Linked DNA regions of Saccharomyces cerevisiae S288C. Changing the gene in region 3 together with the main gene of any one other region gives a genetic interaction. Each region holds a gene or a part of one and is shown on either strand. Other genes may lie near its edges.

What was found.
Region 1: mutations in MAE1 (region 3) and POS5 impair growth when combined (synthetic growth defect), as found in Saccharomyces cerevisiae (2 studies listed by BioGRID, with this or other methods).
Region 2: mutations in MAE1 (region 3) and OCA6 together harm fitness more than expected from each alone (negative genetic interaction), as found in Saccharomyces cerevisiae (2 studies listed by BioGRID).
Region 4: mutations in MAE1 (region 3) and IDH2 together harm fitness more than expected from each alone (negative genetic interaction), as found in Saccharomyces cerevisiae (3 studies listed by BioGRID).

What each region holds. Positions count from the first base shown.
Region 1 is NC_001148.4:188,961-193,956, reverse strand, and holds POS5 (NADH kinase), read right to left. Parts: upstream 2,552-4,996; coding exon 1,307-2,551; downstream 1-1,306. Other genes in the region: MF(ALPHA)1 (Mf(Alpha)1p), read right to left, coding at 1-309; GUP2 (putative O-acyltransferase), read right to left, coding at 2,974-4,803. UniProt on the Saccharomyces cerevisiae protein: Phosphorylates both NADH and NAD(+), with a twofold preference for NADH. Anti-oxidant factor and key source of the cellular reductant NADPH.
Region 2 is NC_001136.10:581,364-585,543, forward strand, and holds OCA6 (protein-tyrosine-phosphatase), read right to left. Parts: upstream 2,103-4,180; coding exon 1,428-2,102; downstream 1-1,427. Other genes in the region: RRG1 (Rrg1p), read left to right, coding at 1-421; RTR2 (putative protein-serine/threonine phosphatase), read right to left, coding at 545-1,135; DOS2 (Dos2p), read left to right, coding at 2,350-3,282; ubiquitin-specific protease DOA4, read right to left, coding at 3,576-4,180.
Region 3 is NC_001143.9:381,420-387,269, forward strand, and holds MAE1 (malate dehydrogenase (oxaloacetate-decarboxylating)), read right to left. Parts: upstream 3,307-5,850; coding exon 1,297-3,306; downstream 1-1,296. Other genes in the region: DNA-binding transcription repressor IXR1, read right to left, coding at 1-439; transcription factor TFIIE subunit TFA1, read left to right, coding at 4,339-5,787. UniProt on the Saccharomyces cerevisiae protein: NAD-dependent mitochondrial malic enzyme that catalyzes the oxidative decarboxylation of malate to pyruvate.
Region 4 is NC_001147.6:577,991-582,908, reverse strand, and holds IDH2 (isocitrate dehydrogenase (NAD(+)) IDH2), read right to left. Parts: upstream 2,660-4,918; coding exon 1,550-2,659; downstream 1-1,549. Other genes in the region: SIA1 (Sia1p), read left to right, coding at 1-1,096; GTPase-activating protein BAG7, read right to left, coding at 3,116-4,345. UniProt on the Saccharomyces cerevisiae protein: Performs an essential role in the oxidative function of the citric acid cycle. Also binds RNA; specifically to the 5'-untranslated leaders of mitochondrial mRNAs.

The DNA.
Region 1 (4,996 bases), on a different chromosome or scaffold from region 3:
CTTGTACATTGGTTGGCCAGGTTTTAGTTGCAACCAATGCCAAGCTTCAGCCTCTCTTTTATCCAAAGATACCCCTTCTTCTTTAGCAGCAATGCTGGCAATAGTAGTATTTATAAACAATAACCCGTTATTTGTGCTGTTGGAAAATGGCAAAACAGCAACATCGAAATCCCCTTCTAAATCTAAGTAACCGATGACAGCTTCAGCCGGAATTTGTGCCGTTTCATCTTCTGTTGTAGTGTTGACTGGAGCAGCTAATGCGGAGGATGCTGCGAATAAAACTGCAGTAAAAATTGAAGGAAATCTCATTCTTTTAATCGTTTATATTGTGTATGAAATTGATAGTTTGTAATCTTCTTGTTTGAACTATTCTTGAATCGTAAATGAATCGTAAGAACAGTAACATTTTTGATGGGAACAAAAGGCCCTCTTATATATGTACTTATCCAAAACCTGTTGTTGCTTTTTGGTTTTCTTGCACTTCAATACAATTGAAGTAAGGCTCACTTGAATATTATGTGTTTGATAAATGAGATGCATCTTTTCACATGGTCCACTGTTTTTCAGTAGAAGCTATTAAATTCGGCAAAATTTACTGTCGTTGATGGCCTAATTAGGAAGGTGTTCATAAAAAAAAGGAATACAGATGTTCTATTGAAGGACTAATTAGGAAAGTTAATTGGATTTTGTTAAATAATTGCACAAATAGTTGTTGGATATTGCATCAGAATTATGCAGATTACCAAAGAGAACGGGATGTCTATTTAGCGCATTTATTCCTAATTCGGAAATTATTGAAATCCACACTACTTAATAGTGCTGCACCATTTATCTCATAATTATTGCCTACGCTAATGAAAGCAAATCTTATTCCGACTTCAAATTGGATCTCTCCTCAAGAAAAGAAGCTCAATGACCTATTAGAGTATGAATACTTGTAAAACAAATGAACAGCGAGTGCTTGTTTAACTTTTTTTTTTTTTTTTTTTTGATTTTAGGAATTGATACGAAACATAGTCTCTCTCCATTTTCTCCCACAACAGGACTGCAGTAAGGATGTTATTATTAATAATATATATATTATATAATTATATCTTCTTGTTAAGCATGTCTTCCCTATATGTCACAGTTTTCTTAAAGCAATAGAATAAAAGACACAATACCAAAAATTTCATGTCGAGTATGTCAGTTGAGATTTCTCTAGACAAAATGCAAGAAAAAATAAAGATCTCTACTTGTCAAATACCTTTAAATCTTATCAATAGAATTCTTAGAGAATCTCATTGAATCTTTGCATTCAGAGCGTTTAATCATTATCAGTCTGTCTCTTGGTCAGCCTAAAGCTAGAATTGAATCCTAAAAGTTCATTGATTCCTCTAATCCAGTCATTCTCGGTCTTGGCGACACAATAAATCCCTGACCTTTTAGGCTTTTTTGAATTATTAAAGTCATTTTCAGTTTTTCTTGTCGTCGGAAGCTGAGTACCATCTATGTATATAGTGCCGACCTCATTTATAACATAAATTTCATCACCAACATCTAAATCCTGTTGAGGAATACCATCAACAGAAAGTTTTACCACACTGTTGACTGGTTTTTGGTTCAATTTGGAACCTATCTTTATCCTAATGTGGGATGAATGAGGCAAAATCAGTGGTCGGAATGACAAAGAGCGAGGACAAATTGGTGTCATTAAAATAGCAGGGACTAATGGGGAAACAATAGATCCACCTGCTGATAATGAATATGCTGTGGAACCCGTTGGAGTGGCCAATGCAACACCATCTGCTGTCGTTCTTGTCAAAAATTCCCCATCAATGAAAATGTCCAGGTTAGTGAGATGAGGGGAATTACCCCTATGTAAGAATATGTCATTCATAGCATGGGTCACAATAGATGAGTTGCTATCCTTTTTTTTCAAATGACATTCTAGCCGTGTTCTATGCAAACATTTGGCTCTAGAGCTGATTACTTCCTGAAAGACCTTTTTATGCTCCTTAAAATCAAACGGTGATAGAAAGCCCAGAGTGCCCAGAGCAAATGCTAAAACCGGAGGAACTTGCGTATTTCCGAACATTGATACGCCGTGTAAAATAGTCCCATCACCTCCCAATGTCACCAATAAGTCTGTTCTGTTTACGATATCTTGTTCAGGACCAGTATAAAGTATATGAGGTCGGTTGGGATCATTCTCCAAAGGAGATTTGAAATCCTGGGAAATTTCTTCTGCCACATCGGGTTGAACAATGACGTTCACCTCGGGGTATGACTCATGTAAATGAGTTATGAATTCAACCATCGCTTCTCTTGTGGATGGAGTCCATGGTTTTTTAGTTATATAAACATTTTGTAAAGGGTTCTGCCAGATTAAAGATTGTAATTTGGAATTTGGTGGGGACACGAAATCTGCTGATGAACTACTCCTCAAGTTATTTACTGGCTTTATTTTTACAAACTTCGAGCCGCTCTGTAACTTTAGGGAATGTGAATCCAACGTACTATAGAACCTATACCATTTTACTGGTTTATTCAATTTAACCCTGACAAACATTTTAATCAGTATCCTTAACCTTTTTATCCTTTTATTTATGAAACAGCGAATAATGAATACTTAGTCTTCTCCTGCCTTTTTTTATTTTTATTTTTTTTTCAATTTGGAGATTTCGGAAAATTGTGAAAATGTGTGAAAAGCACAAAGAAGAGTTGAGAACTGTGGAAGTTTCTTAAAAGTCGCAACTTAGTGATGCATATAGATACATGCAGCATTTCTGACAGTTACAGTTTTCAATAGCCATTGTGTGATTTAAATAGTGCATTGTTCTTTGTAACAATCTTGCAGTTAGTTTTACTTCGGTGAACTTAAATTTAAATTACTTGTAACGCATATATAGTACTTTGGTTAAAATTGTGTATTCCACATATTTACATTCTCGATTAAAAGGATTGACTTTCATAGCTTATCTAATAACTAGATCAACATTTCAAGTTGATGCCATGTCTTTTTTCTTCTTCTCTAATCTCAAACATTACCTGAACAGCAATAAATAGGCTTACCATTACCGCAGTCAAAAACTCCGGACTATGTGAATTGTTAAATATGCCCTTCAATAGAAGCTTCGTTCCCTCTGCACCCAAGCAAAATCCATAGACATTAATAATCATCATCATGCAAATATTTATTGCAGCACCGATACCGCAAACAAACCTGTACCAGCTTCTGAATCTATATCTACTAAAACAGTTAGTAATGTAGGTTTCGCCTAATAATAAAAGGACTGTTAACCACCCCCAAAACAACACTCGTAATTGGATGTCATGCCATATTGCTACAAATGAGAATACGGCAAAGCTCGTTAATATTTTGTTATTGGACCCGCCAAATGGAACATAGATGTAACGGATTACCCACTTGTTAAAACTTGTATGCCAGGCTCTCCAGAATCCCACTGTACTATAATTATTATCCACACATCGTAGCATATTTTCAGGTGCATCAATACCATCGACCATGGCCCACAGCCGAAAGAGCCTCCATGGGATCAAAAGTTTTAAATACATAATGTTCAAGTTGAACAGCGCGATCATAGCCTGTTGCAAGGGTGTATCATTGTTCCATGCCTTGGTCCTTGCTATTGCACCCACATAGATATAATGTAGGATAATTTCCATCAAAAGCAAACTCGAAAATACTTTGAGGGCATAGAAGCCTATGTTTTTTTTCGTTAGCGAAGGAAGCTTATTTTCTGATTGATAAAGGTAGTCATTAAAAGTGATAATTGGGCCCACTAAAAACAATGGCGCGTAAGTAATATAAGCGATAAAATTGATAAAGTTGTAATCCTGGATGTGATGTTCTGCTACCAGTCGTTCCTTTTCCTCCAGAACATTCTTACCTGACTCATAAATGGTTTGTAGAGTAGAACCAGATAAACTTTTTCTGAATTCAGGTCGTCTATCATCGTAATCTATCGAAGGTTGGCGGCTCAATTGTTCATGCCATCTTTCCAAAAAATCCATGGAGTAACTTAACAAACGCAATAATGTAAAATTGAAAAAAAAATCCCATCGAGGAACGATACCCTTATACCATTGATCCATGGGACTTAGGATGATAGCAATATTATTAAAGGGGAGATTTTTCATTTTTTGATTGATGAATAGTGTAAAGATACCATAGGACCAAATCGCAAAAGCGGCTATCAAACGCTTTCTCTTTAGCGAATGTGCCAAAGTGAAGAAAATAAAAGCATGCGTAAAGAGCTTAACAGAATTGATCCCGTACATGAAACAGACAAAAACTAATCCACACGCAAAATCGAATTTTGTTTTCGGAATTTTACTAAATTTAACAAAAACCTTTTTTAATATAATTTGTAGTAATATTAAGATGGCCAACAAAAAAAAATTGGATCTAAAAAACCTATACTGAGGATCGCTGTTATCCACTTTGCGGCCCAGAATCCAACCATGGGCTAGCAGTCCGCTGAATTTATAGTAGTTTGGATTAGACTCGGAGCTCGTAGCCAATGCCGCCTTTATCATGAAAGGAACTACTACGGTGAACGCCAAATAATATAGTCTAAATTCCCATGTATTCCATAGCGGAGGAGATGGGCTATTAGAGCTGAGCACAGGGTTACGGGTAACAGTAACGGCACTAGAAGATGAACCATTCTCTTCTTTAGATGAATTGATAAATATCCTTTGTCGCCTTTTGAATTCAATGTCTGGCTTTATTCGTGAATCAAGTGCCTGCACGGAAAAGAAATGTACGATGCAACTCCAGATTCTTAACATCGACATCTGACTTGTAGCGATGACGTCAATTATTTTTGAGCCCTATAATAAGGTAGTTGAGAAGACAAATTTGAAGCACCCAAAAACCCTCAAAACAGTACCTACCTCAAAGCTAGCTTCTCTTTCTTCTTCTATTTGACTTCATTTTTTCCATATTCACCATTGGTACCTTCCATAAACAACTATAACGCAGTACAAA
Region 2 (4,180 bases), on a different chromosome or scaffold from region 3:
TTGCGAAATTAATGCTGCTTGGGCATTACATGAGGCCATTTGGGAGGAATATCTAGAGTCGAAAAAGATTATTAAAGTAAACTTACCGAAATACTTGGAATACGCTGCAAATATCCCAAAGTCTACTAAATGTAATCCTTCGAGTCAATATCAGAAAGTTAAAGAATGGGTAGATCCCGTGAGAGAAATAATGTTCGAATTACATTCCAAAAGTTTTCAAAGAGTGGAGTACTTTAACAAATATAAGGAAAAGCTTTTAAAGAACGGTGGCCAACTAGCATATTTTGATAAAAAGTCAAAAGAAATGTACGCCAAACGGTTGACACTATTCAGAAAAATGAGCAAAGAAACATTACCATATGTGACACTCTTTATAGAAGGGAGGGACTTGCCAAGTGTTTTGGCGAAATACGGTTTTTAAGTGCAAAAGTTGCGTGAATCAGAAAGTTTAATAGAAAATTTACTGGTTACTTCCATTTCTATGTAAATAGTCACTCGTATGACCGCGATAAGGATCCTGATGAAGACGATTTAATTATACTTCCTATTCTATACAGGTTTCCTCATCAGTAGTCAACTGTCCAAAGTACACATCCAATGGTAAAGGCTCATTCTTGTAGGTATCATCAAACTCAAGATCCTTGAAACTCGTTATCAGCGATTTGACGGTATCTATAGGTACCTCACTTCCAACTAATTCTTCTAAAAGGCTTACCGAGTACATATCATCAAACTCTAGATTAATGTAACTAGTTAAATGCACGCCTCGCCTTTCATGCAGAGGCGTTTGTGATAACTGTCTCATTAAATACAACGAACATTTACTGTGATAATTATTACAATACATTGAGTGGATAAAGAAGCCATCAGATGAATTTTCTGCCGCACTCTTATAGCATAGCGGGTACCCACATATTTTCTTTCCCCTTCTTGCATTAATAACATCCATATAAGACATCGGTGAAAGTAGCCGTGCTAAGTATTTTAATGTCTGCTCATTTTCGCAAAATGATTCTGTGAGCATTGAAACTATGGCAGATTCAATCATTCGGGCTTCCACTATAGATAATTGCTCATGTAATTGGTGTGATCCTAAAATTACTTTTTGAATGAACGTAGTGGTTATTATCTGCATTATGGCTTGCGTTGCTCCTGTCCTTCTAGTATAAAAATAAACCTATCACTTTTCTTAAATATGCTGCAATTTTTCCAGAATGCCTCCTTGCTGTTGATAAATGGCTTCCAATCTTCGCCAATACTAGAATGTGACCGGCTCGTCTCTTTTGTAAAGTCGATGTAATTTTCGTTGGACTTTTCAATGGCATTTGATATTGAAAAAAATGATTATCAATGCTGGAGGGCCCGGCTAAGACTTAACCCTGAAGCTTCTGTCTTTACAAAATATTATATGAATTTATCCCTGAATTTTACATACTATGAAATTTTAGTTTTGGCAAAGAATTTGACACGCTACTTACTCTTGCAACTTTTTCAGACGCATTAGCATCATCAACACGCAACTCATCTTTTGATTCTGTGGCTGTCCTTGCAATATATCGCACGGTAATCCAGGGAACTTTATCCTTTATATCCAGATCGTCAACTTCGATTTCAGAGTTAAAGTTTTCAATGAAATTTCTTTCATGAATATTGATGCTGGAATTATACACCAAAAACTCATTTAGTATGGATACCGTACTCCAATATGAAAACTTTCTCATACATGCTACTACGAGAGATATTATCAATTCACCATTCGTACAGTGCATATAACAGGGGTAATGCCCTTTATCAATCAGAAATTTAACGCATCGTACTACAACATCGTATTCAATAGGAACTGTTTTCTTTTTCCTTTTAATCTTGGGTTTGGTCTTGTCTGCCTTTCTTTCACTTTGACATTTTATATGAATTGTCTTAATGTTATTTTCTTCACAAAACTTTACCATTAGAGGATCAGTGCTCAAAGGTTCTGGTGTCAAAGATAATATGTATTTCAATCTAAGGGTTCTCAGGAATGGGAGATTGATTTCTCGTGGGTAAGATCCTCTATATAAATTTGGCTGTACAGTCGAAAATTGTAACGGAGTCACTAGTGTCATTTTGATACATATAGCTTATTCTAGATGTGTGAACTGGGTATTCATAGCAATTGTGAACCCATAGTTTATATTGGTACTCCTTTCCTTCTTAACAGAGTCTCTTTTTTTCTTTCGCATTTTTTTTGGCCTTACATCAAATAGCGGTGATTAATGATAAAAAGCACTTAGCAGAAGTCATGCAACAAAAAAAGAACACAACATAAGGGTACAGCTAGTGAGCTCCATTGCTTCGACGTTTTAGGATAAAATGGAATTCTTTTATGAAGAACAAGTAGCTTGTATCGAAGATGATAAAATAAGCAACTCTCATACCAAGGAAACTGGATCAACAGAAAACACTGAAAATAACGAACTTCAGAGCCGAGATGACAAAACAAATGAGGCCTTCCAAAAGTTAGAAGAGGAAGTCAATAAACGATATGAAAAGACTACAAGTGCATTCAAAAAGTTAGTAATCGAGAAAGATGACGGAATTGAAATTAACTTGCCAATTAGCAATGAAACTACAGAGACTGCACAAAAGTATTTGAAGAAACTAGACGAGAATATTCACAGCGTGGAAAGTCTAGCCCAGTCATATTGGAGCAAAATGAAAACTAAGAATTTTTGGTCTGGCTTCAGTAGCTTCGATAATGCTGCAGAAAATGACTCTAATGACAAGGATGAGAATTCGAAAGAAAATGAAATTGCTGTGGGTGGAAATAGAACAGAAGCCGAACTAAGGACATTATCTAAAGATAAATCGGTTTATTTAGACAATAAAATGGATTTGCAACTGGACCCGTTTGACGTGGATGAAAAAACTGAGGAGATATGTTCTATTTTACAGGGCGACAAAGATATCTCCAAATTAATGAACGACATCGTACCCCATAAAATCAGCTATAAAGATTTCTGGCACATCTATTTCTTACAAAGAAACAAAATTCTAGATAAAGAAAGTAAAAGGAAAGAAATATTGTCCAAAAAGGAAAAGGAAACGGAGGAAAAAGAAGTTGAGTGGGATGACGAAGAAGAAGAAGAAGATGATGACAAAGTAGAAGCAGTAGCTGACAACAAATCTAAAGGGGAGACGAAAGTTGCTGTGTCTCAAGAGGGATTGAAAGATGTTAGTGACCATGTTGGCCTCGCCAACAAGGATGAGAGCAAGGACGACGACGACGATGATGACTGGGAATGAGTGATTTTTTTCATATAAAAGATATATGTAATGCTATAAATATTTACATACTTTTCATGACGTATTATGGTAGAAAGGAAAATCATCAATCCAAGAGATGCACAGGAGGAAGACAAAATCTGGGCGTGATCTCATCTTTACACCTTCTAAAAAAAAGTTCGTTTGTTACCGTTAAAATAAATCATTTGTATTTAGGGTTTTTTACTTTGACCTTAGATGGAAATAATGATATGCCATGTTGAACGGGAAAAAAAGTGTATAGACAACGGTTTTCAGTTATTTATTCAAATGAATCAAACACCGTAGACGCGGTGATAAAACAAAACGTATGCATTAGAGTTAATTGCATCGGCTTTGTTTTTGACAGGTTTATATTTGGTATCATCAAAATATAGCCATCCCTTCTTTAATCCCTTTTTCACATAGGCTGTATAATGACCACCATACAAAGTACCAAAGTGGCATGCTACACCATATAATTCATACTTAAAAGGTGGTATTTGTCCCCTTATTGGTAGTTCATCGTCATTAACACCTGGAGGAAAAACCCCGTCAAAATCATTGGCCCAAAATGGAGTCAAGTCCAACAAAAAAGGGTATATGACGAAGTCATTATTTTTGTTTAATAAATTATCAAATCTCTTTAAATGGACTATCAGATTCCTCGGTAATCTCGTTATTGTCAATTGTTTCGTGGAGGGCTGCCTTTTTTCACAATGTGGGCACAACCATTGCTCATCCACTTCCAAGTTCTCACATTTGGTGAACTCTCTGAAACAATCTTCAATGGTAATATTATTTCGGGAATTTTTTTTAGGAATAGGGATTGACAGCACCGTAAAAGGTTGGTATGTTGTCGAGGTATGACTACAGACTTTACATTTTAGTCGTGAGGCGT
Region 3 (5,850 bases):
ATCCGGTTTGTTGCATGTAACCGAAATCCTGAGGTAGCGCGTTAACATTAACATTGTTGTTTGAATTTGAGTTCGAATTAGCATACTGTTGTTGTTGTTGTTGCTGTTGTTGTTGTTGCGACTGCGAAGTAGGTTGCGTCAAAGATTGTGGAGGTAGTGGATAATAAACATTTTGCTGTTGTTGTTGAGGCGACTGCTGGAAGTGACCTTGATAAGGCGCTTGTTGTTGTTGCTGTTGTTGCTGCTGCTGCTGCTGTTGTTGTTGTTGAGGCTGGGCTTGAAACTGGTTCAAGTATTGGTGAGGTGTCTGGTGAGAAGCATCTCTGTACTGGGAGTCGTTGTGTTCGAGACCCTGATACTGCAGCGAATGGTCTTGGCCTATGTTGAGTAAGTTGGAGTTAGAGGCGTCGTCCTGTTTGGGCGAGATACCGGTGTTCATTGCAGTTGTGGGTACTGTTAGCGTCGTACGTATATCACAGAATGGATAGAAGAAGGGGATATAGTTGTGGTCTTGCCTTGACTTGCGTTGCCTTGCCTTGTCTGTGTGTAATAGAGTTCTTTGTGGGATATCAGAGCGAATAAACTTCAGCGTCACAGTCTCGGTAGCAGTAGCTGTTAGGCAGTGACCTAGCAGTAGAGGAAACAGAATACAATGCAGTACGATTACGGTACAGAGGATAACGAAGTAAACCACATTTACAGCGAGAACGAGAGACAGAAGGAGAGAGAGAACGAATGCGCCGGGCCGTGTCTATACTTGGCTCCACCAGCTGATGTGTGCATTTTTTTTTTGTTCCCATTCGTTCTCTCACCAAGGGGAGGTGGAAAAGAAAAGAAGAAAAAGAAAGTAAGGAAGGTCCGCTGCGCCTCTCCTTTGCTGCTGTTGCATCCGGACATCACACCCAACACAAAACCCCGCGCGGCCGTCGTCAGTAACCGTTCCACCCATTCCTCCACGGTATGTAGATCGCTAAGCACGATGTGTATGTTTTATGGATATGTGCCGATTTTTTCCGCATTTGGTATCATATTTTGTTTTGATAATTACCGTTCTTGTTATTGCTAGTTGCTTGGGTTAATGTTCTTGTGCTATTGTTGCTGTTGTTATTGTTTTTATTATTGTATTATTGTATTATTATTATATTATTATTATTATTATTATTATTATTATTATTACGGTATGTCAAGTATTATTTTTTTTTTAAAAATAAAGAAAAAAATTGTACAAATATATATATTTATATATTACTCTATATGGTTTTTTTTTTTTAAGTGCAGGCGTTGGTTATGCTTCGTCTACAATTGGTTGGTGTGCACCGATGGGTCATGTTGGACCTTGATCATAGGTCTGTACACAGGCTCCCACATTTGGGCTTTGACCCACTGTAAACATTCGTCAAAGTCACGAGGAACCTTGACAGTTTCGCCGGGAGCTCCTCCCGGTACTTGTTCTTGCTCGATACGGGCGGTTCCCTCCTCGAGTGCTTGCAAGATCACAGCGGTAGCTAGACGCGCAGAAGTGTTGGTGATGGTGTCCAGGCCGGGTAGCAACCCAGGTCTCGAGTCGCCCTCTCTTAGTGGCGACAATTCGGCTAGTTGGTCCACTGCAGCGGAGATCATCTTGTCTGTGATGGTGGTGGCACGCGATAGTACGGCACCTAAACCGATACCTGGGAAAGAGTAACAATTGTTGTTCTCCGAGATACGGTAACCATCAACAGGTGGGAAAGGAGATCCGGTAGCTACAAGAGCGTTGTTGTTGGTCCACTTCATTAAATCGGCAGGAACGGCTTCGTGTAGTCTAGTAGGGTTGGATAATGGGAAAATGATCGGTCTAGGATTGTGCTTGTGCATTTCTTCTACGACATCTTGAGTGAATGCGCCTGCTTGTGTGGAGCAGCCAACCAAACACGTTGGTTTGACGTTCTCCACCACATCATGTAAAGAGCGGGTGTTGATACCAGCCCATTCCGCATCACTCTTAGCGTATACGTGTTGGGCGGGAGTGGAGTTAGCCTCGTAAGATTGTAGAATTAACCCACGTCTGTCCATCAAGAAGATTTTCTTGCGCGCTTCTTCCTTGTCAACGCCGTGCGTGACCATATGATTCACAATTTGATCTGCGATACCGAGGCCCGCAGACCCGGCACCGTAAATAAGCACTCTGGTGTCTTTCAAGTCTCTGTTGGTATGTTTCAAAGCAGCAATCAACGAGGCCATCACGACGGCACCGGTGCCCTGAATGTCATCGTTGAATGATGGCAATTCGTACCTGTACTTTTCTAGTAATCTTCTAGCGTTCTTAACACCGAAATCTTCGAAATGCAGAACGGCGCTTGGATACACTTTCTTAACGGCCTTGATGAATTTTTCCAAGAAGTCGTCATATTGCTTACCCCTGATTCTGGAGAACTTGTTACCCATGTACAATTCGTCACGGGCTAGTTTCTTGTTGTTAGTACCGACGTCCAAACACACAGGTAGCACACGGCCGGGATGAATACCACCGCACAGCGTCATCAATGCCAATTTGGAGATAGCAATACGTACACCACCGATACCTTGGTCACCAATTCCCAGAATACCTTCCGAATCCGACACAACGATGTAGTCTACATCTTTGTCTCCACCGTATGTAGCCAATCTACATTCGATGGAATCAGGTTCGGTAATGTCTAAAAACACACCTTCTGGCTTTCTGAACCTGTGGGAATAGGCAGCAATAGCATCACCTTCGGTTGGGGTGTAAATGATAGGAACTAATTCCTTGATATGTCTCCTTATTAATGCAAAATATAGGACTTTGTTCTGTACTCTCAAAGACGTCATGAAGTCGTTTTTGGCCAAGGGCGTCTTCAAATAGCATAACTGCTTGTAGCTTCTTTCCAGTTGTTCGTCCAAAGTGTTCACTTGTGGTGGTAGCAATGCTTCTAAATTAAACGCTTCCCTTTCTTCTTGTGTAAATGCAGAACCCTTGTTAAATAAAGGAGAGTTTAAAAGTTGAAAGCTCTCCAAGGGACATTCTATGGCACCTTCTACAGTCAAACGAGTGGCATGTGGGTGAGGAGCTTCGAAGATCTTTCTGGCGCGAGAACCGACGGGTGTTTTAGTGACCTCCTCGTCGCTGTATGGCTTTTGGAAAGTATTTTCTCTTGTTGTGGTAGCTTTATGCGATCTAGTGTTAGAAGAATATAAACGCGATTGCTGAATAGGCCATCTTCTTAATGGTGCTGTCCTTGATGCTGTCAAGGATCTGGTTAGTTGCGATCTAGCAGCAACGGAAACGGATAGTCTGGTTCTAAGCATAACCGTATTTCTACCTTTTGTCTTGGTATTTATGTGCACTAAACTCGTTAAAAGTTGTAGGTTTCAAAAGCACAAATATCCGAAGCTGGACACAATATACGAGTAAGTATAAAGATACGCATATATATATATATATAATATGTCAATCATGCCGGTAACGGGTACGACTTCGAAACTCTATAGCGCTAAAGCTGTAGACCAAAGGAAGTCAAATGGAGCATACGCGGTACAGTAATAGGAAATTGCGAAAATTTTTCACCATAGAAAGGCGATGATGAGTCGAAGCCAAGGGGACTCAGTCACTCAGTCAGCTGATGCGATGCGATGTTAGCGCAAACAATAACGCGTACGATAATAAAACTTCAAATGCGCCAATTCTTTTTTTTTTTTTTTTTTTTTTTTGATTTCTTTTCATATATCCGATTTAAACCGCCTAGGGAAGAGTAAAAACCCGAATTGTTCCGTCTATACTTGGTTGTATGGGTGTTTTTTCTTCGATGCTTTTCGTATAAGAAGATATGCAGTGAATATCTTTCAATCGCCTTGAACGGTTGACAAGACGCAAGAATTTGAAAAACCTTGCAATGCACGATGCAATATTCAATTTGCACACATCGAAACGAATTGGTATCGAAAATAAACGCGAAACATATGAGAAATTTTTCTAACTTTTCTTCCTTCGTTAAGAGTGATCCTTGCACTGTGATGAATCGCTATAATTGTTGTAATGATTGACACTGGGTGAAGGGCAAAGGATGTCCAAATGATAAAAAAACAAAAAAATTTGGAAGTGTAAATTGTACCATGGGCGAATTTCAGGTTACTATTGTAGTCTGGTGAGTTAATACGTAATAATACTTGGTTTTTTTTTTTGGTTTTTTACTAAGCGTTACCGTGTGTAGTGATTATCTAAGCGGTTCTTGCAAGATTAGGAAAAAAGCTAATTAAGTGTAAACTTGGCAGCATGATTGCTCGTCCTAATCGAGCCAAAGATAGAAAACTACTGGAAGCAGCTGCTGCAGTGAGTAGAGTATGGATAGACCTATAGATGATATTGTGAAAAATCTTTTAAAGTTCGTCGTTAGGGGGTTTTATGGTGGCTCCTTTGTACTGGTACTCGATGCTATACTATTTCACTCGGTCCTAGCTGAAGATGACTTGAAACAATTGTTGAGCATAAATAAGACGGAACTGGGGCCGCTAATTGCTAGACTAAGATCAGACAGGTTAATATCCATACACAAACAAAGAGAATACCCTCCAAACTCAAAAAGTGTGGAAAGAGTTTACTACTATGTAAAATATCCTCATGCTATTGACGCAATCAAATGGAAGGTCCATCAAGTCGTACAAAGATTGAAGGATGACTTGGACAAAAATTCAGAACCTAATGGTTACATGTGTCCGATTTGTTTGACCAAGTACACACAATTGGAAGCTGTACAATTATTGAATTTTGATAGGACAGAATTTTTATGTTCCCTATGTGATGAACCGTTGGTGGAAGATGATTCTGGTAAAAAAAACAAAGAGAAGCAAGATAAATTAAATAGGTTAATGGACCAAATTCAGCCAATCATTGATTCTTTGAAAAAGATTGATGATTCAAGAATTGAGGAGAATACTTTCGAAATTGCATTGGCTCGCTTGATACCACCTCAAAATCAATCACATGCAGCATACACGTACAATCCAAAGAAAGGCAGCACCATGTTCAGACCGGGAGATTCTGCTCCATTGCCAAATCTTATGGGTACTGCTCTTGGTAACGACAGTAGTAGACGTGCCGGTGCTAACTCTCAAGCCACATTACACATCAACATTACCACGGCAAGTGATGAAGTGGCTCAAAGGGAATTGCAAGAGAGACAGGCTGAAGAGAAAAGAAAACAAAACGCTGTCCCTGAATGGCATAAACAGAGTACCATCGGTAAAACTGCTCTTGGTAGACTGGATAATGAAGAGGAGTTCGATCCTGTAGTTACTGCATCTGCCATGGATTCTATAAATCCTGATAATGAACCTGCACAGGAAACATCCTATCAAAATAACAGAACTCTGACCGAGCAAGAAATGGAAGAAAGAGAGAATGAAAAGACGTTGAATGATTACTACGCTGCTTTGGCTAAAAAGCAAGCAAAGCTCAATAAAGAAGAAGAGGAGGAGGAAGAAGAAGAAGAGGATGAGGAAGAAGAAGAGGAAGAAGAGATGGAAGATGTTATGGATGATAACGATGAAACTGCTAGAGAAAATGCATTGGAAGATGAATTTGAAGACGTAACGGATACAGCTGGCACCGCAAAGACAGAATCAAACACCTCCAACGACGTAAAACAAGAATCGATTAATGATAAGACTGAAGACGCTGTAAATGCTACTGCCACTGCTTCAGGTCCGAGTGCAAACGCTAAACCAAATGATGGTGATGATGATGATGATGATGATGATGATGAGATGGACATTGAGTTTGAGGACGTTTGATATGGTCCGTTTTTTTTAAATCTTACCAACTAGCTCTTACAATGTAGAACCAACTTTTCCTTT
Region 4 (4,918 bases), on a different chromosome or scaffold from region 3:
TACAAGAAAGCTTGAAACCAAAAACCATCATCACAAATTTTCTAATGGATTGCTAGGTTCTTTGAGAACACCCAGCAAAGACATTAATATCCAAGTCGATGCAGATTACAAAATAACATCTCCCCATATACAATTTTCGAGGGGACAAAGATCATTCAAAATTCTCCAAATAACTGATTTTCATTTCAAATGTACGGATAATAGCATGACCGTAATCAATGAAATAAAAACAGTAAATTTTATTGATAGGGTACTCGCATCAGAAAACCCTGATTTAGTTGTGATCACAGGTGATTTGTTAGACTCACATAATACTATCGACTATCAAACGTGCATTATGAAAGTTGTCCAACCAATGATTTCTAATAAAATACCCTACGCAATTTCATTGGGTGTTTCTGACGAATCCAATTTGGCCACATCGGCACAAATTAGAGACTTTATCAGGAATTTACCTTACACATTTAACAACGTTGCATCAGAAGAGGGTCATATGGCCATAGAAGTCTCATTTAAAAAGAAGCTCACGAAGAATACTCTTTTGGAAAGAGACATTGATACCGAAGACGAAACAAACCCATCAGAGGCTTTATTTTTCGTCTTTGATTCATTTGCGCCCGTCAATAATTTCCTACAAGATTATAACGACCTGATTGGGAAAATAGACTTTGGCTTGGCATTTCAATATTTTCCATTATCGGAATATAGGCCTCATGGTTTATTTCCTATTATTGGGCAGTATAATGAGAGGTCTACCTTAACAGTAGATACGCCAAGGTCTAGAGGACAAGTTTCAATGACGATCAATGGCAAACATTACAAAAGCTTCCTTGATATCCTGAGTCTTTGGAATATAAAGGGTGTCAGTTGCGGACATGAACATAATAATGACTGTTGCTTACAGTCAAAAAATGAGATGTGGTTATGTTACGGTGGGTCCGCTGGTATAGGCTTGCCGAGAATCCAAGGTATATATCCAACCGTTAGATTATTTAACTTGGATGATATTTTGGACGAAATAACTTCGTGGAAGAGGAATAGCAATCTTGTTGACGAGGTTTACGATTATCAGTACATCTATAAGGGGAAGCAATAATTTCAATGATTAATTTTGTAAGGTGAACATTGACTGCCAGCAGGATAGATGATAGATAGACATAAACAAAATATACATAACACACGGTGGTGTTTTCTTTTTACACATAATATATTTAATTCTTTTTCTTTTTTTTTTTTTTTGGTTTACAAGTCCACTGAGGGACATTTTGAGTTATCACTTATGGTCTCCTGTAGCATTATTAAAAGAATAAATATCGAAAAGTATACATACTTAATAAAAACTTCAGGCTATTAAATAAACATCAGAACACATTGAGGACAAAGCCATAGAAGTTTGGAGTAGATACGGAATTTTTATTGTATGTATATATTATATATCTAAGCATTTTGCTTTTTTTTACTTCATAATCTTTCAGAAATCATTATATTAAACGGATAGTCATTTGTTTTCAAGGCGTGAAAAAACCTGAGAGGGAAAAGAATAGGACTTTTATAATCTCTTGATGACTGCTTCAGTGAATGATGAAGTAGTAGCAGTACCAGCCAAGTCACCTGTTCTGTTTTCTGGACCTGATGCGATAGTAGACAATACTGCATTTTGAATTTGGTCAGCATGATTCGTTAGACCCATGTGGTTTAACATCATTACTGAAGATAAAAGTAGGGCAGTTGGATTCGCTTTATCTTGACCGGCAATATCAGGGGCAGAGCCATGGACAGCTTCAAAGATCGAGATTTTATGACCAATATTGGCAGATGGAGTTAAACCTAAAGAACCGGCGCTCAAACCAGAGTTCAAGTCGGACAAGATATCACCGTATAGATTTGGACAAACAGAAACAGCGTCTGTGTAAGCAGATGGGTTGGTGACCACCTTTAACACACTGTTATCAATAAGTTCAGTTTCTAAAGTAAGGTCAGGATACTCTTTGGATAGTTCTTTGGCAACATTAACGAATAAACCATCAGCTAATCTCTGGATAGTAGATTTATGTACCACAATAACTCTTGGTCTGCCGATGGCTCTTGCATATTCAAAAGCGTATCTAATGACTCGCTCAGAGGCATCTCTTGTGATCAGTTTAATAGATTGAACAACGCCAGGGCAAACTATGTGTTCGATACCAGAATATTCACCTTCGGTATTCTCTCTGATAAGAACTAAATCAACGTTTTCGTAAGTGGTCTTAAAACCTTCAATAGACTTTGCGGGACGAACGTTGGCAAATAACCCAAATGTTTTTCTCAATGTCAAATTCAAAGATCTGTGACCTTTACCAATAGGTGTAGCTAGTGGACCTTTTAGTGCAACCAGGTTTTTTGTGATAGATTGTACGGCAGGGTCAGGAATGGTCGTTAATCCGTTGACAAAGATAGGGCTAACATCACAAGATTCCCATTCTATGGGGACGTTTGCTGCACTAAAGATTTTCTTTACAGACTTGGAAATTTCAGGTCCGATACCATCACCTTCAATGAACGAGACCGTGTATTTGCCGGTAGAAGGGTTAGGTTTGCCGGTATATCTTCCGATTGAAGGTTGCTTTACAGTAGCCAAAAACCTCCTCGAGGTGTTTCTAAAAAAAGTATTTCTCAACATTATTAAAAAATATTATAATTGTTGTTCGTTCCCGATCTGTATCTTATTATCTACCAAGGTAATTCAGGTTCAGAAAAAGTGTATCCAATAATGTCATGCACTTGGAATATATATTTATATAAATATGAATAATAAATGAAAAAGAAATAAGAAAAGAGGAAAACTTTAGAAGGAGGGTTTTTCTGATATGACTATGATGAGAAACTAAAACCTTAGGGCCTATAATAAGGGACCTATGAGCTTTTCAATAACTTATATATTCTTTAACCAAACAATGGAAGTTACAGAAAATAGGAACTGACCAACCAGAGCGGCCCGTGTCATGCCCCCCCTTGCCGAGATGCGGACCGAGATTGCTGAAAGAAGCGCCGAGTATCGCAAAAGGCCCCTGGCGGGGCAACGACAATTTCTTCGCCGAACCTCGGAATCGACTAGCAGATCACAGTGCTTAGGAAGCTAAGGCTGCGTTCTAGAAGGGCTAGTGAGTCTTCTCAACCATGACTGTCGTTGTTTGTGTTTGGTTTTATGTTCACCTCTAGGAACTCTTTCTGTAGGGTCTTTGATGCCAGTATTGCTGCTGTTTCCAACGTTCCCAAGTAATTTACTAAGTCTGGGAGAAAGGGACTCTGCACTCAATGTTCTACCTTTAAAGGATCTCGGTACAGAAAGCCCATTGTTATCAAAATCTATTGGGCTAGGAAACAGTGCATGATGATGATGATGATGATGATGTATGGTAAAATTGTTGGAGTCAGAAAGTGCACGTGACCTTGGAAGCATATGGTCATCTATTGAAGGGTGCACAAAATCTTCTTCATCGGAGTCAATAGCCATTTCAGGAACGGTAATGTTGTTAAACTTTGCTACTGTTCCTGCATGCGGCATGGTGTCCTTATTCGCTTTTTCCGTATTCGGTATTATATCTGAAGCGTGTAGTATGAGGAATTCGATGACAGTTCTGGAAGCCTCATACTCTTTCGGGCACATTTCATCCTTGGGATGAGACAAAAGTGAGGGTTGTACGATGGCCGCTAAATTGCTTGCTGACATTAAATTCTTCTTTTCATTTCTTGCAAATAAATTCAAGAGCGCGGCTAAATAAAGTATTAAATGGCGATTTTGTTGTGGTAAGAGCATATAAATATCTTCGTAGTCCTTAATGATTTGTTCTTTGTGCTCATTTATTTTTGGGTTTTCTAATATTGGATTTCTAAAAATGTCGTATAATGCTAGGGGAACCAAAGGCTCACTTAATGAGTTCAAATATCTTTTTAATAAAGTTGCAATGTCATGAACATTGAAATCACACCATCCTTCAAATTTACGACCATAATCGGGCGGTTTAGAGAAAACAGCTTGTAGCTCTCTAACACGTTTATTGCTTCCCGCAATACGGAAAATTCCTGTTGTGTCTAATGCATTCTCTTTTAGGTATTTCCCACTTTTTGCTATTACCACCGGTATGGAACCAATTTCATTTGTACTTTTTTGGATAATTACTTCCTCTTGAGCAACTTTCAGTGATTCCTCGAGTGAGACGCCAAATACTTTACCATCAAATTCGTTTTGCAAATTAGTAAAGGTGTCCCTATCCTTCTTGCCCTCAACAGAAGACATTGAAGATGACCTATTCTGTGGAGAACCCTCTTCAGAAGAAGGTGTAGAAAGTAGATTCATGTTAAACATTCTATTTTATGTTGTGTAATAAGATATGTCCAGAAATATACTATGGTTATTTATGTACTCTTTCCTGTGTACGCGTTTCGATTATTTTGCAGGTTATATTATATACTGCTATCACATGCTAAAACAAGAGTATCTAACAATGGGAACACAAAGCAAGTATTGATTTACTCATTCCAGTTGTGTAATTTTCTTCTAAAGATGTACTTAAATAAGAAGAAAACAATGATTGTCTTCGACCTCAACGCCTCGAACCAACGCTTTCCCCAATAGCGAGAGAAAGTAAGTAACCGGAAAATTAATTACCTCTTTCTTTCACCTGCAGGGGCTGAGGTGCTTCTGTTAGTGCGCCTCTAGAAGTATCGGCCATAATGAGATATATACTTTGGTTGCCCCTCCGGTTTTGAGGGAGTTTTAGCCCGATGAGGCTGGTCCTCCCCTCCAAGGATTTTTTGTATTTCCTATTTCGCTCTAATTATAGAAGCACCAACATACGGCGGGGTATAAACCAAACAATAGCCGCGGAAGCCCAATCTTCTTCTCCTTTTTTCGTAAACGGATAAAAAGCTATGACCA